Linked DNA regions of Ovis aries. The protein of the gene in region 3 purifies or fractionates together with the protein of the main gene of each other region. This does not show direct contact. Links are inferred from orthologs where the notes say so. Each region holds a gene or a part of one and is shown on either strand. Other genes may lie near its edges. The genes, in order: DNM1L, TSR1, SERBP1, PRMT1, RBM42 and LARP7.

Region 1 (3,705 bases), on a different chromosome or scaffold from region 3:
AACAGTATTTGGTTTGAAGGAAAATTAATCACTGAAATACTAAACCAGATTTGGAAGCTATATTTAACTATACTATGTCAAATATCACTTTTAGGTAAGGAACTAAAATTTTAACTTTTAGCCCATCTTCTATATTTCCTCCTACCCCTTGAAACCATCACCTCATGTCTTTTACTACCTAATCAGAAACCTGTTACATTTCTCAATACCTGTGTACTGTAATTGCTACAGTGCTGAATGATCCTTTGCATTTCTTCATGAACCAGTTCCACACAACGGAGGCTGGGCTCTTCCAGACGTTTGATTTGCCTTTTGACCAGTAACTCAAATGAAACTTCAGGCACAAATAAAGCAGGACGAGGACCCTAAAAAGAGAAAATTATGAGCTCTTATAGCTACATGTAATTTTGGTTCTTTCCTAAGGTTAAAATAAATCACATTTTTGGGTATTTTTTCATGAAAAGTACTTCCTAATTTCAAGAATAAGAGCAAAATAACAAACTGTACCATTCGTTAAAAAATATATATGGATTAAAAAATAATCTTTAACCTCATTTCAAAAAATTCTAAAAGTTAAGCATACTCACAGTTGCATTTCTAATGGCAGTCAAAATGTCAATAGTGTTAAGGCCACCGAGAGGGTCAACAGATTCTAAGGTTCGCCCAAAAGTCTCATGGAAAATATAACATATTCGAGCACCACCACATCTGAAAGGCAATGAAATATATGATTTCTAGTATTACTAAAAGGGAAAGACACTACAAACTAGAAGTCTTTCTGTAAGCAGTAAGATTATGGAAAATTACATTTAGACCATTTCCATGTATTCTCAACTGTATTATGAACCAATTACTCTAATCTTTTTAATGGGGAAAGGAGTCATTTCACAAACGGCATTCATATATGCATGTGCACGTGCACACACAGAGTAAACTGTACTGTCAGAAAACATCAGTTAACTAAGAACGACTAAACGTTTTTCTCTGCTCTAGTTCTCAACTAAACCATGCACTCCTTAAGGATATTTTCCAGTGGTCATGTATGGATGTGAGAGTTGGACTATAAGGAAAGCTGAGCGCAGAATTGATGCTTTTGAACTGTGGTGCTGCAGAAGACTCTTGAGAGTCCCTTGGACTGCAAGGAGATCCAACCACTCCATCCTAAAGGAGATCAGTCCTGGGTGTTCATTGGAAGGACTGATGTTGAAGCTGAAACTCCAATACTTTGGCCACCTCATGCGAAGAGCTGACTCATTTGAAAAGACCCTGATGCTGAAAAAGATTGAGGGCAGGAGGAGAAGGGGACAACAGAGGATGAGATGGTTGGATGGCATCACCAACACAATGGACATGGGCTTGGGTGAACTTTGGGAACTGGTGATGGACAGGGATGCCTGGCATGCTGCGGTTCATGGGGTCGCAAAGAGTTGGACATGACTGAGCAACTGAACTAACTAATTTCTATTTATTCACAATCTAGAGTAGAGATCAGCGATCTTTTTCTATGAAAGGCCAGTTAAATACTTTTAGACTTTTCAGGCCTTTGTCACAACTCGCCAATTCTGCCATTGAGCACAAAAGCAACCACAGACTGTACGTAAACAAATAAGCATAGCTATGTTCCCGTAAACTTACACACACTAAAATTTGAATTTTACATATACACTACATTAAAAATTCTTTGAATTTTTTTTCAACCATTTAAAAAATGTAAAAATGATTCTTAGTCAATGGGCTTATCCTTGCTTTAAACAAATTAAATCTCTAGGCCTACATACTGGATACCTTGCATTTCCTGTCTTAATGATTAGAAATCCTGGTATTATCTTTTATTTTTTTCATTCAAGTCCAGTTGAAACTTTACAGATATGGTATATCCCCCCAAATCATTCATTCTTCTCTATTTTTACCATCACTTTTCACTTCTTTCTTACAGTAGTCTAGGCAGAAGGTACCAGCCTAACATTATACTAAGTGAAATAACCCAGACAGAAAAGGACAAATATTGTATGATTCTCCTTATATGAAATATCTAGAATAGGGAAATTCACATCAACAGAAACTAAGTCAGAGGTTACCATGGGCTAGGAGAAGAGAGGAAGACAGGTATCACTGTTTATATGATACAGAGTTTCTGTTGGGATGATGAAAAATCTTGGAAATAGATACTATTTGATGGCTGTACAATATTGTGAATATACCTAGTAGTATGTATTATACTTTAAAATAGTTAAAATTACCAGTAACTAGTCTCTCTGCCTCCAACCTTTACCTTCTCCAAATAGTTTCCATAATGACCAGAATTACCCTTCTAAAGTGGGGAACTCCTGTGACCAAAAATGTTATCATTTTTTTATAGTAGGAAGCTCTTCAAACTCTGACATATTACACTTTCCACAGTCTTGTTCTTATTAGACACCTTTCCCGCCTTACTTCCTGTTACAACCCATCACTGTACCTGCCATTCTCCAAATTCACCCTGAACTATTCTTTGCTATTCCAAAGCCTAAAATACCCTTCTACTTACTGCTTACGGCCTTCGCCATATTCTATTCACAGCCCAACCCAAATGCATTCCTAACTATGGAGCTCTCCCAATCTGGAGCTCTCCCAATCCTTGAAAGAGATATAAATGGTCTCTCTTCAATGTTCTAATGAGGCTTGATTAGATAATTACAAAGATATAAATATTCTATGGAGTTAACTCACACAGAAGGCTACCAGGGTCACATGAAAGTACACAGAACTGTACACCCACACACACACATGAAGTGTAACTGGTGAAATCTGAATAAACTTTGTGGATTGTACCAGTGTCCATTTTCTTGCTTTGTTATTGTACTACAGATATGCAGGATGTCAGTGCTGGGAGGTGAAGGGTGAATGGACCTCTCTGTACATTTATCTGCAACTTGCTAGAAATCTATAGTTATTTTTCAAAATTAAAAGGCTTTTTAAAGGTGAGAGTTCAGAGAAATATATTCTTATATATTGCTACTAGTAAAACAATACAATTTACTACTAACATCCCAGGTGGCACTAGTGGTCAAGAACCTGCCTGCCAATGCAGGAGGATGTTAGAGACCTCCGAACATGTTGGAAGACGTTAGAGATCTAGGTTTGATCCCTTGGTCAGGACGATCTCCTAGAGGTAGGCATGGCAACCCACTCCAGCATCGTCGCCTGGAGAATCCCCTGGACAGAGGAGCCTGGAGGACTACAGTCCATAGATTTGCAAAAGCAAGACACGACTGAAGCAACTTAGCACTCACTACTAATATAGCAATGATAAAAGATGTTGAGAATATAATATACCTTTTGATCTAGTAATTCTACTTCTAGAAATTTACCCTAAGAATTTACTTGAATACATGCTCCAAAGATAGTCCATCACAACACTGTATATATTTGTGTATAACTGAAAGCAAACTATCAAGAGTAGGGGACTCACTGAACGAATCTAAAAAGTAAAATACTATGTAAATCTTAAGGCTGAAAATACAAATATGCAATTTCTACTAGCTGTTTGTGACAAGTTGATTTAAAGAAATGATTCTGTAGCATCTGATTTTTAAAGATGTGTATTATAGGCATTTTTTATGTTTTATAAATACATAGAAAAATGTCTAGATTAATGCCAAATAATAGGGATTATTTCTGGATGATGGAAATAAAAGGAATTTTATCCTTATACTTTACTCTTTT
Region 2 (3,705 bases), on a different chromosome or scaffold from region 3:
ACCAACTTACTATCCAGGTCAGGAGCTACTCCTTTCCCAAGTCACCAGCAGAACCAGCTGTGATCTAGGCAACTGAAGGCCAGAGTAGAAAACAATTTAAAGTGCTTAAACGCCTTATTTCTATTACATAGATTAAAAGAAAGGCTCTTGGGCAGAAATGTGTTAACTGTACCATCTGTTTTACTGCAAGCATGCCGGCAAAATGCTGTGTCTAGTTGTAAGGTATCTAATACTCCTCTTCCTAGGCTCTGAGACCTAGTGTGAAGGTATATGCTGCTGAACCCTTGAATGCAGATGACTGCTACCAGTCCAAACTCAAAGGGGAACTGACCCCCAACCCCTATCCTCCGGAAACCATAGCAGATGGTATCAAATCCAGCATTGGCTTAAACACCTGGCCTATTATAAGAGACCTCGTGGATGATGTCTTCACTGTCACCGAGGATGAAATTAAGGTGAGGCTCCAAGAGGAAAGAAAACAACAAAAGAGCGGAGCAACTTATTAGGCAAAAACCTTCCTGTTGTAAATGGCAACTAACCCACAAGGGAACTTGACTAGGTGATTTCATAACATGTGAGAGGGTGCTCTAGACGAGTGTCAAGACAGTAAAGCAAGTCAGAATGAAAAAAGCCCTGCCCTTCACTGGCAAACACAAACGTATCACAAACAGGAATACTCAGACTGGGCATACACCCCCATTTGGCCTTTAAGCATAGAGGCCAACCAACTAGGCTCTTTACCCCTTTTCCTGTGTCACTAATTCTTACTCCCTTCTATACCGACAGTATGCAACCCAGCTGGTGTGGGAGAGGATGAAATTGCTTATTGAACCTACAGCTGGTGTTGGAGTGGCCGCTGTGCTGTCTCAGCATTTTCAAACAGTTCCCGCAGAAGTAAAGAACATCTGTATTGTGCTCAGTGGTGGAAATGTAGACTTAACCTCCCTAACTTGGGTGAAGAAGCAGGATGAAAAGGCAGCTCCTTAGCAATCTGTTTCTGTTTAATAGGTGCAAAAGGAAGAAAAGGGACTCAAGTGTCTAGACACTTGGAAATTTTGTCTCCTGGTCATTGTCAAGTTCCTATCTTCCCCTCTAAAACAGCCTTCAAAACCCTAATGGAGAATGTGTATTTCAGTAAGATTTAATGGTTTTTTTTGGACTAAGTTGAACTAGAAAAACATCCATACTTAACTGAGACACCTTCTCAGGGCCAAGAAAAGTCTTCTGCACAAAGGAGCAGGAGCCCTTAAGTAGGCTTAAGTAGAAAGCACAAACTGGGCAATCACAACCTATAGGCTCCCATCCCCAGAGTGCTCACTAGTAGCAGTGAGACAGAATCCCACTGAATCCGTTACTCCATGTCCACTTCAGGCACTGTTGAAGAAATCTCACTTTTCACCCAGGGGACTGGTTCTGGTACATATGGATCATAAGTCCACTTGGGGAAAACTCTCTTATAAAGATTCATCAGTACTGTGTCCTGAGATTTTAGCTTCCCATCAAAACTGCACTTCATGTGACCGTGAGTACCTAGAATGAAAACAGAATGAATTGGTCATATTAACAGAAGACTTTAAAGCAGTGGTCTCTTAACCCAGTGGCCGTTTAACAGCACTGGGGAAGTCTACACAAGCTCCCAATCGCGCATTCTCTTACCCAAAGGCTCCTTGATGTGGCCCCTGCGGCCCCACTTTGTTCTCAGTTCCACAGGTTTAAACCACAGTACATCCTCTTAGGTAAAGAAACACACAGAAGGCCAGGGTGAAACACCTATCCATAATGCATAAACCCAACCTTCATCCCACAAAGGAACTGGATCCCCTCTGTCACACCTACCTCTGTTGAAAAACATGTAACGCACCACTGCCGTCTTGGTAAAAATTTTGAAAGGATGACCACTCAGAACAACTCTCTTGATGACCATCCTGTCTGGATCCACTGACAAGAGATGGCCTGTGGCAATGAGGCTGTGCATTCCTGAGGGGCGAAGGCAGAGCAGCAGGAGGCTTTTGGTCAAAGCCGTCACTTATTGTCCAGTCTAGTTAAAGGCCTATGAGAGATCTTGGGAAACCCAGTGGGGATGTACTATGTGGCCCTCCTGAGTTCATGGCCGAGATCACTGATATTCCTGCTGAGCCTGTCCTCAGAACCCACCCTAAACAGAGCACCTTGAGCGACCTCCACAGATTAGCTAAGGTTTGCAAGCAAGATAAAACCCCATCTGTCATCCTGAAATTGGGATAATTTTAAAAAAATCATTACTTTTTCGTTACCATCTGACTCCCAAATTTAAATACAGAGAGCAGTTAATCTTATTAAGGACCTGCAGGCTATTCACCTCTGTGAACTCAACTTACCATTGCTGTTCTGTTTGAAAAGCAGCACAGATGCAGGAGGAAAAGTGATTGGGGCATATACTGTCACCACCAGGGCTGTGTCTGCAGTCAGGAACCTCTGAAATTTATGTTTATCCGCTGTCATTAAAAGAATAAAAACCAGAACATATTTTGAGAAACAATAGGTAATCCAGAGGCCTGTGAAAAAGCTGTATCACTGGACCTCTTAAACTAAGGCAACTAATGTTTCTTTATCCTATTAGTTCTCCAAACATTTTCTGGCCTCTGTACAACTGAAAAATACAACCTTATCCTAGCAGAGTGATTTTTCAAGTAGGAGGCACAGTTTTGGAGCTTGAACTGTATTTTGGGGTTTGTCAAAGTTCTCCAGGTGATCCCGATACATAGCACCCTACCTCATTTAAGAATCGGTGCTTTACAGAAAAACACTAATTCAACAGCTCTTAAGTCTTCAGCAAGGACTGGCAAACATTTTCTATAATCAGATTAAGTATTTTAGGCTTTGTGGCCATCAAGTATCTCTTCTAATTACTGAGTTCTCACTAAAGCACAAAAACAGCTATAGATAATACATTTTTTTAAATTAATACTGAAAGTTATAGGGAAATAAAAGGGCAGTATCAATCCCTCATTTAGACAGAATGGTTGGTGAGCAAAGAAATTATCCAGAGCATCCATTAATACTGCCTTTTCTCACCTTCCTCTGGCCACCGCTGGGGGCTGAGAGTGTGGGTAACGTTCAGAAGCCCTGACATACTGCAAATATCTTCCCACTCTAAAGACTGTAAGAGGACAATCACTTTTTGTCATAGGAGTATCCCTAGTCATCACTGTCCAAACTCTCATCTAATCTCAAGATCTCAGAAGCCATATACCTCTGCTTTATCTAACTGTGGGCCACCCCCTAGACTTCACCCACTGGGACATCAGATGCCAAGAGTTCCATGACACATCATTTCTTGAAAGCTGCCAACCCCTATTCAACACTAAGTCTGCAGCAAATACTCATGGCACAGGAGCCTCAGCACCACACAGTTTGCATCACAGGGATGCTTCAGACAGGTTCAGACATTTTGAATGGAAACATCACTGGCTCCTAAACCAAAGTCTGAAATGCTGTATCTGCACACCCCATCCCCGCCATCCCACACTCCCACCCCCTGCCGCAAAATCACAGTCCCCTAACAGACAGTAAGATGAACAAAAACCCAGAAACTGCCCTGCTTACCTGCAGTGTGCTGAGAGAATAAAGGTGAGGCTCGGAAGCGCCTGAATCCACAGTGGAAGATCAGCTCCTCTTTAGCTTTCACGGGTTCAGTGTTGCCAGGGTGCCGGCTCACCACCATAT
Region 3 (4,381 bases):
GCCCATTTTTTGCATGAAATGTTCCCTTGGTATCTCTAATTTTCTTGAAGAGATCTCTAGTCTTTCCCATTCTGTTGTTTTCCTCTATTTCTTTGCATTGATCGCTGAAGAAGGCTTTCTTATCTCTTCTTGCTATTCTTTGGAACTCTGCATTCAGATGCTTATATCTTTCCTTTTGTCCTTTGCTTTTCACTTCTCTTCAACAACATTTAAATCTTATTAAATACTGGAAATTAATTTATATTGATTCATTTCTATCAGAAGGCAGAGTCTGGATTAAAAAATTGATGTCAGGTGTCTCACAGTGGAGTTAGAAGACTGGAGTTAACTCCTGGCACTTAAACTGTTACAGACGTGAACTTGATTAAGTTATTTCAAATAGGAAATGGTTTCACCTGTGAAAAGGGAAAATTATTTACCTAATAAGTTGTTGTCGTCATTAAGGTTATTCATAGTACCTGGAACATGGAGATGCATTTTCTATATTCTGGTTAATAGGAAAAGGTTTAAAAATTATAATACATTCACCCTCACCGTGTTACCAAATATGCTTGAATATGCATGACACCCTTTTAATGGACTTTAATATTCTCAGCTAATACCAATGAGAATTAAAGACAATTCTCTGACATATTTCTCTCCCCTCACTGCACCTCTTAGCACATCACACATTCAGATGCTCTTCAGATAACATTTTAATGTTATTTCTTGAGTACCTTTTACTAACACCCAATCCTTGACTTGCCTGGCACTAATGTCAGCCTAGGCTCCATAAAGTGTTTCTACAAACAATGCCTTTTGGAGGCTTTCCCAGTGTCTGGCTAGTGCTACACCGCCAGGAGTTAACAATTAAAGCACCGGTCGCAAGACGGCACTTCTCATCCAAGAAAAGCGCGCAACACTCACTTTGCTAGTTCAACTTGTCTTTTGGATTAATTCTGCTGCTAGAGTTCAAGTGGCCGCGAGAAGAAGCGTATTCCGCCTCACATTAAACAGAGACGCTTCGATTCATTATTAGGGCTGCAGGAGGGCAACTGCAGCAACTGGGCAACTAGGGATTTGGAAGAGAGCGGGTTCCACTTCCGCGAGGCCAGTGCAATCTGCCAGCCCTGGAAGTTTGTGAGTCTCCACTTGTAAGACTGATAGTCACCTTGACCCTCCCGGAGAGGTGGGGAAAGTTAGTCCTGGGCCGGAGACGGGGAGTAAAACCGAAGACTGAGAACTTTCGCGAGCAAAACACGCCGTCACGTTTTCCTGTTTTCAGCGCAGCAGGAGACGCCGAGAGTTTAAGGGCGGCGATAGCAGGTGGCAGGACTCCGCCTACCACCGCGCTTCTCCCTCAGCTTGCACACCCCTCTCCCTCAGTGAGGACTCGCCTCTGAGGCGCGCGCGAAGAGTTGTTCAGCCGTGTATTCTGGGAGTTGTAGTCCTGGTGCCGGGAGCCGCCTCAGGAAAAGCGACTCTGGCCTACAGACCCCGTGGTACCGTGCGGCGCTGGCCGCTCCCGGATGTGTGCCTAGCGCCGGAAGAGAAGACAGCCCCCCTCTCTCGGCCCGGCCATCTTGTGGGAAGAGCTGAAGCAGGCGCTCTTGGCTCGGCGCGGCCCGCTGCAATCCGTGGAGGAACGCGCCGCCGAGCCACCATCATGCCTGGGCACTTACAGGAAGGCTTCGGCTGCGTGGTCACCAACCGATTCGACCAGTTATTTGACGACGAATCGGATCCCTTCGAGGTGTTGAAGGCAGCAGAGAACAAGAAAAAAGAAGCCGGCGGGGGCGGCGTTGGGGGCCCTGGGGCCAAGAGCGCAGCTCAGGCCGCAGCTCAGACCAACTCCAATGCGGCGGGCAAACAGCTGCGTAAAGAGTCCCAGAAAGACCGCAAGAACCCGCTGCCCCCCAGCGTCGGCGTGGTTGACAAGAAGGAGGAGACGCAGCCGCCTGTGGCGCTTAAGAAAGAAGGTAAAGCAGTGGTAGAAGGTGGGAGACACCCGGGATGGAGGGAAGGAGCGAGGAGACTTGCGGCTAACACTCGCTTCTGGGGCTCCGAGGGTTCGCGGGAGACTTGGCCACTGATATCCCGGCGTTTCCCTCAACGCGACAAAAGCCAGGTCCTGCGAAGGTGTTGGGAGCGTGTTAAGCCCAAGTTCAAACCGCCACCTGCAAGGATACTGGAACCACCCCTTCCCGCCTCAGGTCTGAGCCGAGAAGCGTGGTCGGGATCCTGGGAGGCTGCTGCCTTCCCGCCGGATTCCTTGGCGGGCGAGCGCATGGACCGAGGCTCGGTGAAGGGAGCCACTCCTCGGAGCACTTGTAGTGAAGCGGACAGCGGGGGCTCCGCGGCTTCTTCCTGCTCAGAGCTGCCCCCTCAGTCTGCTGCTCTGAGGTGAGGTTGTCTCCTTCAGGCTACTCTCTTGCCATCTTGTCCCAGGATGGCGCGGGGTACGCCCGAAAAAGAGGGTCGAGTTTTCTGCCCGCGCGCACACCTCTCCGCAGGCATGTTCGAACCGCTCGGATATTGTGGGAAAAGCTGCCCTTTTAGGTGCACACGTGCTTTATTGTCCACCCCTCGCCCCCTCAACTATTACAAACTTAATAACTTGCTGGAGTGACTCAAGCTGTTGGGAGAGGAATTTAGCCCCTCGGGATTGACCAGAAGCGGGAATTCTGAATGAAAACGTGTTGGCAGGAAATCCTGAAACTCGTTCTCGAGTCAAGATCTTTTTATCTACCCCGTCGAACCCCCGCGGACCCACCTCCCCACTGCACGCAGTGTTTCGTGTGGTGTGCCCCTGGCGCGAGCCTCGTGGCTGTCACAGCGGTAGCCACCGCTGAGTCCTTTTGAGTCTATGGCTTTTTCTCCCCATGTGCGTGAAGCGTGGTCGGGATTTCATTGGCGGGTAGTAGCTGCTTCCAGGTCATTGTAAACTTCGCGGGATTGCCTTGAACTTGGTGTTTGCACTCTCCCTCATTGCTGGTTTCTCTTTGGTGGTGGGTGAAAAAGCATAGCAGTGAGGAGTAAGGAAAAATCTTACAGATCCGAAGTAAGTAGGTGTAGGACCTAAGTTCTGAATCGTAGAGATTACCTCTGTGTGTTGAAAGTTGAAATTTTGCCACGTGCTTCAGAAAGGAGTTCTGAGCTTTAGTTGAATTTGATAGCTAGCGTTCAGCTAATTTGAAAATGAAAACAATTGTGTTAGGTTTTGGTTTAGAATTTTTAAGAAATAGAACGTTTTGAGGCTTGGGATGAAGAACCTAGGTGGTAAATAAAACAATTATATTAAAATTACAGGTTGGAGAGGGAAGCACACGTTGGAGTATTAGCATGCATCTTTGAGGCTAAATACTCGGCTAATCTTTATAGCAGGCTCTATAGGCTGTAGCACAATGTAATAAATCGTTTAATTTCTATGTTAAGGAACACTGACTTGTGTAGTCATTTAAACTGTGCTCAAGTTTACCTCCTGTATCGCTAATTCAAAGAAGGTACATGAAAAAATGGAATCTGAAATGTGTTCACTCGTTTTGAATGTTCAAAACATGAGGTGTGCTTTAAACCCCTCAGTTTGATCATAAAGTCCGTTTATGAAATAAACTTTTACCTGGAACCTAGTATTTTAAATTATAAAGTTATTTCATAAATTTATGAGCAGGATTACGTTTACCATTCAGTAGTCAAATTCAATAATTTCCATTATTAGCTATCAACATTTTCCTTAGGTCAGCATTTCAGAGGACACTTAGGCTTAAATTGCATAAAACACAGGTTATAAAAATGTTGAATGAAAAAAGTTCATTTTGAGAGCCTACTATGTAGCAATCATTTCTGGGCATTGGGGAAGTATAGACCTGTAAACAAAAGTCCTGGACTCTTGTAGTAGGAGGGATTGTTAACCTGATCATGTGTTCTGTGCCTTTGAATAGGGGTCCTGGCACAATCAGATATGCTTTAGGTAGGTATTTACTGTTTATATTCTATGAATTTTGTAGTTTATCTTTTGCCCACTTGAGGAATTTGAGAATGGACACCACTGAACATCGCTAAGGTCTATTCTTGTTTGTTTTTTCAATGTTGAAAGCCTGGAATATAGTGAAAAATCTAGAGACACATTTTTAAATGTCAGTTGCTGCGTGGATTTATTTGTGTTTTAGATTCTGTAAGCCTGATAACTGAATATTGGAGTGTGGAAGCAAGCCATTGTTCATCTGGGTGTGTGAGGCTTGGATATTATAAGAACTGGTTCTGTAGCTCCACCCCATACACTCACTACCTCTGAAGAAATTTTTTTAAATGCCTCGGTGTAAGGTCTAATGTTTGTGTCCTGTCCTGAGAGTTTATGTGGAACGGACCTTAAAATTTCAGAGTTTGACGTTTACCATTTGAC
Region 4 (3,705 bases), on a different chromosome or scaffold from region 3:
CCAGCCTCAGTCTACTCCCCAGATAGCTGCCTGATGGCTCTGAGGAGCATCTAAGTCAGATCTCGTCCTAACCTCGCCCCTCTGAGGAGTAAGGCAAAGTCTTACACATCCACGAGGTCCCATGAGACCTGCACAGGCCCACCCCCGCCCCTCACCTCCAACTTCCTTCCCGATCCGTGTTCTGCTGCAGGTTCCCTACAAGTTCCCTACACAGCGAACTCGCTGCTGCCCCAGGACCTTTGCACTGGCCGAAATCCTCTGTTAAGTGTGCCTTGCCCCTCAGATCCCATGTGGCTCCTCCCCGTCCGGGGTTCAGGTCTCGGTCAGCTCCCTGGGAGGCCTGCTCTGACAGCACCTGGGTCCACAGTCCCTCCTAATCCCTCTGGCCTGCTGTGGTTCTTTTCCAGCACCATCTCCCTGTCCCTGTCTAGCTTCCGGTACTGGGCCCCCTCCATCTTGCCCGTGGGCCTCCTAACATCCATGTAGATGTCTTCCAAGCCCTGTACTCAGTCCCCGTGGTGGGAAGTACGGAGCACAGCTTCCCTTTTCTGCCTGGACCCCCACACCGGCCTGCACGAGCCGCTCCCGCCCCGCTGGGGCCTCACCAGCCACTTGTCCCGGGCGTAGAGCACGGTGTTGAGCATCGACTCGTAGAAGAGGCAGTAGCCCATCCACTCACTGATAATGATGTCTACCTTCTCCACCGGGAGCTCCACCTCCTCCACCTTCCCCTTGATGATGGTCACCACTGCGGGGCAGACAAGGGCACATGCCACCAGCCCTGAGGACAGCCGTCTGCCTGCCTCCCCTGGGGGCCTGGGGACCCCACCGGGACAGCCTTGTCTTCTCAAGGAAGGGCTGGGGGCTGTGTTGGGGCATCTTTAAAGAACTCTGTGAGCTGAAGTCACACCCTGTCAACTTAAGTTTTTAAAATTCATTCATCAAGGGGTATTTCTGAGGCAGGAACAGAACTTGACATGAATCAGGTATGAGGTGACATTGAGATTTTGCCATTAGCAGGCAGGACCAGGGCCCGGTGCAGACAGCCCCTCACTCTAGGACACAGAATGGGAAAGGCAGCCACCCCCTTACCCGTCACGCCTCGCACACTCATGGGGAACCTGGTGCCAAACCATTTGCAGATGACCTGCTTCTGGGTCAGGGTTTTGTACGGGGCAGAGCAGCTCCCTTCCTAAAATCTACTGGAAGTCAGCCTTGGGATTCCCTGGTGGTCCAGTGGCTAAGAGTCCATGCTCCCAGGACAGGGGACTGGGGTTCAACCCCTCATCAGGGAACTAGATCCCGCACGCTGCAACTAAGACCTGACGCAGCAAAGTAAAATTTTTTTTAAAAATGAGAGAGATTTTGCCACTAACAGCCACGGTCACGTTTTGTTTTTCTGTCTGCACTGTGTAGCTTGTGGGATCTTAGTTCCCTGACGGGGGATCGAAGTGGGGCCCTAGCAGTGAAAGCAGTCCTAACCACTGGGCTGCCGGGAAATTCCCGTGGTCATGCTTTTTTAAATATTTTTTAAAATCTATTAGATACACACATGGCAGGATTTATAGTCGGAATTTGCTTCAAAAGGAGGTATTTAAAGCTCAGTGATGGGAACTTAGGAATTCATTACACTAATTTCTTTTTCAAAAAAAACCCCTTCAGCTTCTAGAATGCCAAGGGCCCTCATATCAAAAAACCCACATGTTCCCATGTCCTCTGCCCCTCAAACCTTGCAGGTGGGAAGGGCAATGTGGCACCTTCTGCCCAACTTTCTTCCACTTTTGATCCATGCAACCCTACTTTTACAAACTGACCTCACAGATAACATTAGTTCATATATGATTGATGATGACATTACAGGTGGGGGATGAAAGTCTTGGAAGCTCAAATGCCCATGACCAGGAACTTGGTTAACAGACCTGGTGTATGTGAAAATAGAGGATGGCAGTCATCAAAAAGCAAGATCCTCTCAACATCCTATCAGGTGTTAAACTACATAATACACAGGTGAAAATCACAAAGGGCATGTATGAAACATTATCTGTGTCAAAAACCAGCATGTGAATGCAGAAACATACACACACGTTTGTTCATCGGTATGAACCTCTCTGGGAGAGAGAGCTGTCTGCACTTAGAGAAGAGTGGCTGAGAGGCGGGTGGCAGACTTCTTACTATGGGCCTCATGTGCCAACCACGTGACTCTATCACTCACTGAAAAAACTCAAGATTGCTTCTTGAAATTTTTGTTTTTTTAAATAAAAGACTGAAGCACTAAGCTTGTGACTTCGACATGCAGATTCTAAGACGGCTTGTCAGGAGGTAGGTTCTGAGAAGGCTGGATTTTTGGGCTGTCCGCAGCCCAGAGCCCACCGGGGGAGGAACGCCTGAATTTGACTTCTATGGCCTCCATTCCCTTGCCAGGGGCCCCGGGGAAGCTGGGATCCCCCGCTCCCTCCCCAAAGACCCCGTTCTCTTCCTGGGCTCACCATGGTCTAACTTGTTGGCTTTGACGATCTTCACCGCATAATCAGAGATACTGGAACACTCGATCTGGGGGCCCAGGAAGAAGGGAGGGTGAGACCCCCCCCCAAATGCCACCCTCCACCCCCACTCCCCTCCACCCAATCCCTGAGCCCCAAGGGGCCCCCTTTCCGTCCCTAGGCCCAGGCCTGGCCGGCCGCCGAGGACACTCACCCCGATGACCTTGCGGGCCCCAGCCTTGGCGGCAAACATGCAGAGGATCCCTGTGCCCGAGCCCACGTCCAGCACCACCTTGTCTTTGAAAAGGTGCCGGTTGTGAAACATGGAGTTGCGGTATGTGAGGGTGCGGACCTCATCTTTCAGCATTTCCTGGCAGGGGTGGGAACAAAGAGATCATGAGGGGACTGGCGTCCCCTGCTGAAAACCAGGGTGTCCTGGCCTCCAACACACTGATCAACTTGAAGACTGGCACTCAGTCCTCAAACCTGCTTTAGTCCCCTTAGGACAAGTTATTTCCCTTCCACACGCCTCAGTTTCCCTACGTGAAATTGGACTGGATGGACCAAAATCCCATCTTAGGCATTTTCTACCCTTGCCGACTAACCCCCTGTAAAGCCTTGCCTTTAAAAAGTCCTCAGTAAGCCAAAGCCATTAAACCGCCCACGTGAAAATGGTAAATTTTGTTATGCATATTTTATAACAATATTTTAAAAAAGGAAAGAGAAAAATCTTCCCACCCCATCCCTGCTGCTTTCTGGGACCTCAGCCTCCACCACACGCAAAAGGGGTGGAGAAGACTTTCGAGCCGCTGCCGGTCACTAGAGGGCGGCAAAGACCGGTAGGCCCTGACCTCGGGCTGACGTCTCAGATGCACATGCGTCTCAGATGCACATGCGATGCACATGCGCGCTCCCACCGCGGCCTCCCAGGAGAGGACTGGTAGAGCGCCAGGCTAACCCCGTCTCCCAGGCAACGGCTGCGCGAGGCGACCCGGAGTGTGAGCTCTGCCTGCGCAGAGGGGGTGGCCCGCTGCCAGGGAAGGCAGTGCGCATGCGTCAGAGATGAATCTCCAGCTCTCCCCAACATGACCCCCTGGAAGATTCGGCACCCTCAGGAGCTGTCTGTCCATACTCACCTCGTGGATGCCGAAGTGAGCATAGGAGTCAAAGTAGTAATCTTTGGACGTCATGTCCTCAGCGTTGGGCTTCTCGCTGCTTTCTGCCT
Region 5 (3,034 bases), on a different chromosome or scaffold from region 3:
AAGAGAAACAGAAGGAGGCATAAACATTCAGAGAGACAGCAGAGGTCGACTAGGTTTTGGCAGAGTGAAGAAACTGAAAAGTCTGAGAGACCTAAAGGGTGAGAACGGCAGAGATAAGGAGAGAGAATGATATTAACAGGAAGAGAATGAAAGAGTTTCAGAAATGGCCAGTGCCTTCAGGAAGCCGCCTTGGACTCCTCGGGATGGTTCCCCATCCCAACCCTGCTAACTCTCATTGTCTGGCAATGGCTCTCTGCCACTGAACCATTAGCTAGGAACACTGTTACCACGGTATCCACACACTGTCCAGGTCCTTGATGAAAATGGATGAATGAATGAAAGCCTGGAAAGCTCTGAGCTCCAGAAGGGCAGGGCCCAGAGGACCCACTACCTTGGTGCTGAGAACACAGGGTGGAATCAGAAGACCACTGGGGTGAGCCTCCACTTGGCTTTGACCTTGCGCTAAGACTCTACTTCCTCCTCTGAGGAATGGGCTGCACTCAGTATACACTTAAAGAGGTTTCAAGAAGATCTAACGGGCAGGTAGCAGCGTTGAAAACACCCATCTGCATGTTTATGTAAACTTTCAAGGCTCCCCACTGTCTCCAGAGTGGGGGATGCTAAGCCCGGCTCTCCAAAGAGTGCTTCCAAGCCTAGCCAAGGATGGAAATGAACGTAAATTTATTGAAACTGGTGTTGGGGAGGATGGCTGGGTAGACAGTTGAGGGTTTTCCAAAGAACTGTGGGGAGGAACCAGCGCCCGGCCGGATGGGAGCGGGTGCCTGGCCACAGACCCTATCTCAGGCCCAATTTCTTCTTCTCCTTCTGCTTCTTGCGCACCACGTCCAGGTTCCGGTCCTTCCACATGCTCTTGCGCAGCTTGATGGGGCGTGAGCCCACATACTTCCCTGTGGGAAGAGAGGGTTCAAGGTCAGGCTCAGACCAGATGTCTGCCATGCCCAATGACCCTAGGGAGACCGCACTCACCATTCATCTCACGCATGGCACGCACATAGTCACTGGGGTCCTTAAAGCTGACGAAGCCATAACCCTTGGTCTTGCCTGTGCGCTTGTCACGGATCACCTTAGCCTTAAGGAAGGATGGGAAGCGGCTGAAGGCTCGGGCCAAGATGTCATCATTCACTTCGTTGCCCAGGTCCCCACAGAAGATCCGGAAGTCATCTGGGGTTGGGAGAGGGAAGATCAGAGGATACACATGTGTGGCCCAGGGTCTGTCTTACTGAAATGATCCCACCTTCTCTGGGAGCATCCCCCAAGCCCTCTTCCCTCTGTATCCCAGCAGTCTCGACCTGAGGTCCTCTTAGTTATAACAGCCAACACCTGGATAGTATATACCCTGTGCTAGACTCTCTGAAATAGCACCCCACTCCAGTACTCTTGCCTGGAAAATCCCATGGGTGGAGGAGCCTGGTAGGCTGCAGACCCTGGGGTCGCTGAGCGATTTCACTTTCACTTTTCACTTTCATGCACTGGAGAAGGAAATGGTAACCCACTCCAGTGTTCTTGCCTGGAGAATCCCAGGGACGGGGGAGCCTGGTGGGCTGCCGTCTATGGGGTCGCACAGAGTTGGACACGACTGAAGTGACTTAGCAGCAGACTCTCTGCAAAGCATCCATAAAGTTTTCACATACCTGGCATTCCCAACAGCCCTATACGCCAAGGCACAGAGAGGTCAAGTCACCTGCCCAAAGTTAATCAGCAAGCAGCAGAGCTAGGACAAGAACTCAGGCATCTATCTGGCTCGAGAGCCTTCACTTTCAACTAACGGCACTGCCCTGCCCCACCCCAGGGCCACCTCACCCACTCCGGTGATGAAGCCCCTACCTTTGTCATCACAGCCCTGGCCTGTCCTCTGAGCCCCCAGCATCCTTTGGCCTCCTGAACACCTCTCCATGGACACTCCCTGGGCCCCTGACACCCACTGGTTCCCATAATGGCACCCCAGGACCGCAGACTTCATCCTCAGCTCTGCCTCCTCTGCAAAGCCCACTCTGATCCCGTTTGAGTCCCTGAAACCTGAACACACTGCCTCATTCTTCTCCAAGGTCAACTTCAGCTGCCATTTTTGGATAAACCTCCTGGGCTGAGCCTGGTCTTGACCAAATGTGCTCAAGCTCAAAGAATCCCTTCCCCCACGAGTATATACTATTACTATCTCCTTGCTGGAAAACAAGGCGTGAAAGGCGGAGTGACGTGTCCAAGGTCACAGAATTAGGGTCTACCGCCTAGCCACCTCTGGGCCAGTGCTGTAAAGGAGTGGGGTGGGACTTAGGCTCCTTTCCTTAGCTACCACTGTGGTTGCCTCATAGCTTTGGTGGTGACTGAGGGCACTCTTGAACAAGTTAGGTCACCCCAGGCAGAAGTAATCTGACAAACTTAAGAGGGTAGGACCGTCCATAAACCAACTGATCTGAACATTTCAAAAGACTATTATAAGTGAGACAAAGCAGCGAGAGGGAGACAATTCTCTTTAAAAGATAATCTAGTGGCACAAAACTGCATGCCTCCTGGTTTAGGGGAAAAACAGCTAAAAGGAAACAGTTTGGAGACAACTGGGAAAATCACAATATAAACAGAATATGAGATAACACAGTTACTGTTAATTGTCTTAGATGTGTTAACCATGTAATGATATGAAAGAAAATATTACTTTTCTTAGGAGATGAATACTAAGGTATTTAGGAGTGAAGTGATAACCTCATTTATAATTTACTTCACATGATTGAGCAAAAACCAAAAAATGATAAACATGGAGGGTTACAGTGAAGATACCAAAATGTTAATTGCTGAATCTAGGTGGTTGATATATAGTTAACTGTGCAAAATTTAAAATTTTGTGAGAAATTTTGATTATATTTGATTATATTCTTTGCAGCCAAAGATGAAGAAGCTCTATACAGTCAACAAAAACAAGACCAGGAGCTGACTGTGGCTCAGATCATGAACTCCTTATTACCAAATTCAGACTTAAACTGAAGAAAGTAGGGAAAACTGTTAGACCATTCAGGTATGA
Region 6 (4,497 bases), on a different chromosome or scaffold from region 3:
TTAAAAATCTGTGGAGAATCAAATATACCTTCATTTTCGAGTACAGATATGGATTAGATTAAACAGGAATTAAGCTATGGTACAAGTTCTCTTTGCTACACATTGGTTGCAGAAGATCAGGAAGTTACATGATAGTCATAGTTTACTTTTTCAATGTCCTATGATAACAAATAGGTATACTGTCATTCCATACATTCCAAATCAAAGTTCTTATCTTTCTTAGCAATGTCTGTTCTGCTGTTCTCACCACCCTCATTTTCTTTAAGGATGACATATTCTACTTAGTTAACCAGTCGAGCTATTTACTAGCTGTATGGATTTGGGGCAAGTTAACTCAACTTTCTACGATCTACAAAGTGGAATAAAATTTATACTGACATACTAGGGTTGTTTTAAAAATTAACCAAAATGGATAAAGCACTTTCCATTGCTGCTATACAGCACACAGTCAACAATATCTAACTGTTATTTATTATCATTTTATCATTTACCAATCTGTCATTAATCCCTATCAATGTAACCTTTGGAATGGCTCTTATCTTCATCCAGTGTTTTCCACAACTACTGTTATAATAATACGGAAATTGTTTATAAATTGTTTGAGAAGTCCTCCATCCTTCACAGAAGCTGTGTAACTTGTCTAAACACAGGTCTAATTTTGTGACTCTAATGCTAAAACTTTCAACAATAATAATTCTTTAGCATCTTTTGGTAACACAGCATATATTTTTAAAAAATTGTTAAATGAATCAACTAGTTTCATAGGGTTTAAACAAAGAATAAAAGTTACTGTGTAACACCAGTTACTTTACACACCTTGTTTTAAATCCTCATAATCCCTCTAGGTTATTTCTCTTAACTTTTTACAAAGGCTCAAAGGTTAAGTGACCTGGCTAAAGCTAGCTAGGTAAGTAAGCTCAGGTATGTTTAACTTTCACACTGCCTAAGTTTTAGTAGAACCTCTTGCAACCTCTTACCATGTAGTCTACGTTTTGACTCAGAAATCCTTTTTTTAAATTGTTAAATTTTTTTTTTTTTTACAATGTTGTGTTGGTTTCTGCTGTACAACAACGCGAATCAGCCATCTGTGTGTTCGTGCTAAGTCGCTTCAGCAGTGTCTGAGTCTTTGTGATCCCATGGACTGCAGCCATCCAGGCTCCTCTCTGTCCAAGGAATTCTCCAGGCAAGAATACTGGAGTGGGTTGCCATGCCCTCCTCCAGGGGATCTTCCTGACTCAGGGATCTAACATTGCATCTTACATCGCCTGCAATGGGAGGCAAGATTTTTTTAACAGTAGCGCCACCATCAGTCATAAATATACATATATACCCTCACTCTTGAGCCTCCCTCCCCTTTCTCCATCCCACTCCTCTAGGTCATCACAGAGCACCAGACTGGGCTCCCTGTGTCATACAGCAACTTCTCACCAGCTATCCATTTTACACACGGTAGTGTGTATCTGTTGATGCTACCTTCTCCATTCATTCACTCTCTCCCTCCCCACCCCGGCTGTGTCCACAAGTCCATCTCTCCTGGCTCAGAAATTCTTAACCTGAAATCCATGGAATTTGGGATGGATTTCAAAAATTATTGTAAATCCCACGAAATTTTCAAAGGTAAATTTTAAAGGTGAAACCATGACTTTTCTACGTTTATAAAATGAACTCGTCAATCATTTTATTTAAGTAATTAACCAGGGAACTAGTTAAGTGCTAAAAACCAGTTCAAAGGTGAACTCAAAAACTAGACAAGCGCAAATACAAGCAAGCAAAAATATTGAAATGAACTTGTTAACAGATGTAACACTAATCAGGGCAATAACTCTTAAGACTTATTTCAATTATAACTTACATAATTGTAACATAGCTCAATGACAATGAAAAGCAGAGGTAAGCTGGAAAAGTAAGCTAGACACCTCTTTTTTTTTGGCTATTTCAACGTCTTTCACAATTTTTCTTTAAAAGGTTATAGAAAATATTTAGAGATGTATATGTATTTTCCTGGGAGGCTCATCCATATCTTTTAAATCACGTTTTAAAAGGAAATGGTGTGTCAAAAAGGTTAAGAGAACTATAGTTCTAGTCACATCTGACTATCCAGCGTTGCCTACTTTCTTGTCTCTGTGCCTCTGCTTTAAAAGCTTCTTGTCTTCCTTGTCTTATCAAGTCCTATTCAATTTTCAAGGCCCAGGTTAAACGGCATCTTACTCTTTCTAGCTTTCTGCTAGCACATTTCCCCTAAACAACCGCCTCATCTGTTTCCCTTTTAAGTATGTCTATTAACGCACTCAATAATACACTGTATTTTTTCTTCCTTCCATAACTGGATGTTCAGCTCTCTGAATGACAGAGACAAAAGTTCTGAAAAAGGAAATGACTTAATTTAAAAATACAAGTCCACATTCGCTATCGTTTGGCCACCAAAACTCGAATCTGCGAAGAAAAGCAATTCCCCTTTTGACTACTGCCCCTTTAGGTACCCGTCCTTCCTCAAGGAAGCCGTCAGACGCGGGACTACCCCAAACCTCCCAAAACCGGGCGGCAAGCGCCCCCAATCACTAGAAAACTGGAACTGCAAGGGCTGCCGGAGGACTCTTGCGCGTGCGCACAGAGAACCAGGACACTAGGGCAATCTAACTGATGGGTTGGTGGGAGGGGGCGGGATGAGAAGGACCAGAGATGACAGAAAGGACCGGCATAGAAAAAGACTGAGAGTAATTTAGATCTCACCCAACCTGGGCTTCCCTAGAGTCCACTTAGAACTTACTCTGTCCAATTCCCAAAATACAGCGCCAGAGACTGCGTTCTTCAGTCCTTCGCGTCCCCCGAACCTTATAGTCGTGGTTATTTTAGCGTCACATGAGCGACAATTCTTCCGAACGCCTTGGAAAAGATGGGCCCAGAGGTTGTGCGACCGACATTTACGTCACTGGCGTAGGCCCGCTCAGCGTGGGGGCGGGACATCGGAGAACGCAGTCGCCACAGAGGCTAGCAGCCAAAGAGGAACTTGATTGGCAGTTTGAAAACGGCCATTCAGGTCCGGAGCCGTGGTGGGCGGGCTAAATAGTGGGGTTGGATCTGGTGCGGTCGCGAGTTGATGATGTCACGGCTTTTCGCGGGAGAAGTTCGAAAGTGGGTTTTGTGCAATGAGCAAGTTAAAAGAGCTGTTTCCACTCGGGAGTTTCTGGGGATTGAGGGTAGATAGGCTGGAGTTTTGAGCTCGAGGTGCTGTCACTGATTTTGATGCGACGGGCGAAGGAGTTTGCTCCGCCAGACGGGGTTCGGTAACGAAACTGTGTGGAGATAAGGTTGGTTCACGGCTTGGCGCAGCAACCTGTAAATAATTAGTGCTTCGTCTTTACCACCTTCCCCCAACTCCTGCTGGGCAGTTCCGGTATCCGTGTGAGAACCCGGGATGGTTTTGCTGTTTATTTTTAGGACTGACAAAGGGTCCCTTCTTCATTGTCATCTGGTTACACAAGCTAGTGATAATTAGAACGTTGGCAAATGAAATGTGAGCATCTTTTGGTTGTCTGGACTGGACCGTTTCTTAAAAGGCTATTGGGCTCGTGATTCTTAAATTTTTAAATCTGTGAACCACTTAGGGATTCGAAAGATCCTGCTTGTTCCAAAAGAAAAGGACCAAAAACATCTCATCGTACTTAGCAAGAACAGGTCATATTTTAGTGATAACACCGAATTTTATACATAAATCTAAAAAACAGCACAATAATGTGTGTGAAGATATGTATGTATTTCTGTACTAAATTATCGCAAAACATTTAATCTCTCCCTTTTTTTTGAAGTGTAATTCTTTAATCTACCACTTAACAAGAGTTAGGACCGTCTCAATACCTTTTACATCGCAAATCCCTCAAGTAATATTTCTAATTTAGGAAAACAATGGGGGAATTTATTTTGCAGTTGGTAAACAGCATATAAGTAATCCTAAAGAAGTAAATACTGGATTTCTAACCTGTAAATTGTGATGGTAATAACAACTTTTAGGACTATGAGACTGATAAATATTATATGTAAAGAATCCAGTCCCATTCTTGCCTGTTACAGTAGGTTTTCCATAGTCACATAATGTAGTTTTTGTGAATGGGAACACCAGAATTTAGACTACTTAGTTTTAAATTCTGAATCTGCCATTTATTTACTTCATGAGCTTAGGCAAATTACATACTGATGTACCTCACTTCCTGTTTTTGTAAAATGAATATAAAAAGTAGTATCTGTACTATAAGGTGTAAAATTTAAAGCATTTTAACAGTGTTCTAGCATATAATTTACACTGAATAAATAATAACTGTTATTAAAGGGATCTAATGTTAACTGCTACATGCCAAGCATTGTGTTGACACTATGTAGTCTTATCTACATATATTTGATGTCTAACCCATTCAGTGGCTAGAAGCAAGTTGCTGTTCAACCAGCAGTCAACTATGTGTTTCTTTGGACCTCTGTTATCTTCTTGGCATTCACTAGGCATCT

The links.
Region 1: the proteins of SERBP1 (region 3) and DNM1L purify together in Homo sapiens (affinity purification with mass spectrometry; 3 studies listed by BioGRID and IntAct, with this or other methods). This does not show direct contact. The link is inferred for Ovis aries from reciprocal best matches to the Homo sapiens genes SERBP1 and DNM1L.
Region 2: the proteins of SERBP1 (region 3) and TSR1 purify together in Homo sapiens (affinity purification with mass spectrometry; 3 studies listed by BioGRID and IntAct, with this or other methods). This does not show direct contact. The link is inferred for Ovis aries from reciprocal best matches to the Homo sapiens genes SERBP1 and TSR1.
Region 4: the proteins of SERBP1 (region 3) and PRMT1 purify together in Homo sapiens (affinity purification with mass spectrometry; 3 studies listed by BioGRID and IntAct, with this or other methods). This does not show direct contact. The link is inferred for Ovis aries from reciprocal best matches to the Homo sapiens genes SERBP1 and PRMT1.
Region 5: the proteins of SERBP1 (region 3) and RBM42 purify together in Homo sapiens (affinity purification with mass spectrometry; 3 studies listed by BioGRID and IntAct, with this or other methods). This does not show direct contact. The link is inferred for Ovis aries from reciprocal best matches to the Homo sapiens genes SERBP1 and RBM42.
Region 6: the proteins of SERBP1 (region 3) and LARP7 purify together in Homo sapiens (affinity purification with mass spectrometry; 3 studies listed by BioGRID). This does not show direct contact. The link is inferred for Ovis aries from reciprocal best matches to the Homo sapiens genes SERBP1 and LARP7.

Annotation. Positions count from the first base shown.
Region 1 is NC_056056.1:182,666,360-182,670,064, forward strand, and holds part of DNM1L (dynamin-1-like protein), read right to left. Parts: intron 3,699-3,705; exon of another isoform or gene 709-3,698; coding exon 588-708; exon of another isoform or gene 366-587; coding exon 210-365; exon of another isoform or gene 1-209. UniProt on the Homo sapiens protein: Functions in mitochondrial and peroxisomal division.
Region 2 is NC_056064.1:23,185,490-23,189,194, forward strand, and holds part of TSR1 (pre-rRNA-processing protein TSR1 homolog), read right to left. Parts: coding exon 3,586-3,705; exon of another isoform or gene 2,475-3,585; coding exon 2,358-2,474; exon of another isoform or gene 1,978-2,357; coding exon 1,837-1,977; exon of another isoform or gene 1,732-1,836; coding exon 1,657-1,731; exon of another isoform or gene 1,531-1,656; coding exon 1,352-1,530; 3' UTR 988-1,351; coding exon of another isoform or gene 787-987; 3' UTR 456-786; coding exon of another isoform or gene 246-455; 3' UTR 1-245. Other genes in the region: SRR (serine racemase), read left to right, coding at 246-455, 787-987. UniProt on the Homo sapiens protein: Required during maturation of the 40S ribosomal subunit in the nucleolus.
Region 3 is NC_056054.1:43,070,267-43,074,647, reverse strand, and holds the start of SERBP1 (SERPINE1 mRNA-binding protein 1), read left to right. Parts: upstream 1-1,559; 5' UTR 1,560-1,645; coding exon 1,646-1,958; intron 1,959-4,381. UniProt on the Homo sapiens protein: Ribosome-binding protein that promotes ribosome hibernation, a process during which ribosomes are stabilized in an inactive state and preserved from proteasomal degradation.
Region 4 is NC_056067.1:55,814,368-55,818,072, reverse strand, and holds part of PRMT1 (protein arginine N-methyltransferase 1), read right to left. Parts: coding exon 3,617-3,705; intron 2,851-3,616; coding exon 2,695-2,850; intron 2,551-2,694; coding exon 2,487-2,550; intron 749-2,486; coding exon 606-748; intron 1-605. UniProt on the Homo sapiens protein: Arginine methyltransferase that methylates (mono and asymmetric dimethylation) the guanidino nitrogens of arginyl residues present in proteins such as ESR1, histone H2, H3 and H4, FMR1, ILF3, HNRNPA1, HNRNPD, NFATC2IP, SUPT5H, TAF15, EWS, HABP4, SERBP1, RBM15, FOXO1, CHTOP, MAP3K5/ASK1, MICU1 and NPRL2.
Region 5 is NC_056067.1:45,665,687-45,668,720, reverse strand, and holds the end of RBM42 (RNA-binding protein 42), read right to left. Parts: intron 1,183-3,034; coding exon 988-1,182; intron 909-987; coding exon 796-908; 3' UTR 665-795; downstream 1-664. UniProt on the Homo sapiens protein: Binds (via the RRM domain) to the 3'-untranslated region (UTR) of CDKN1A mRNA.
Region 6 is NC_056059.1:13,387,961-13,392,457, forward strand, and holds the start of LARP7 (la-related protein 7), read right to left. Parts: upstream 2,924-4,497; 5' UTR 2,768-2,923; intron 1-2,767. UniProt on the Homo sapiens protein: RNA-binding protein that specifically binds distinct small nuclear RNA (snRNAs) and regulates their processing and function.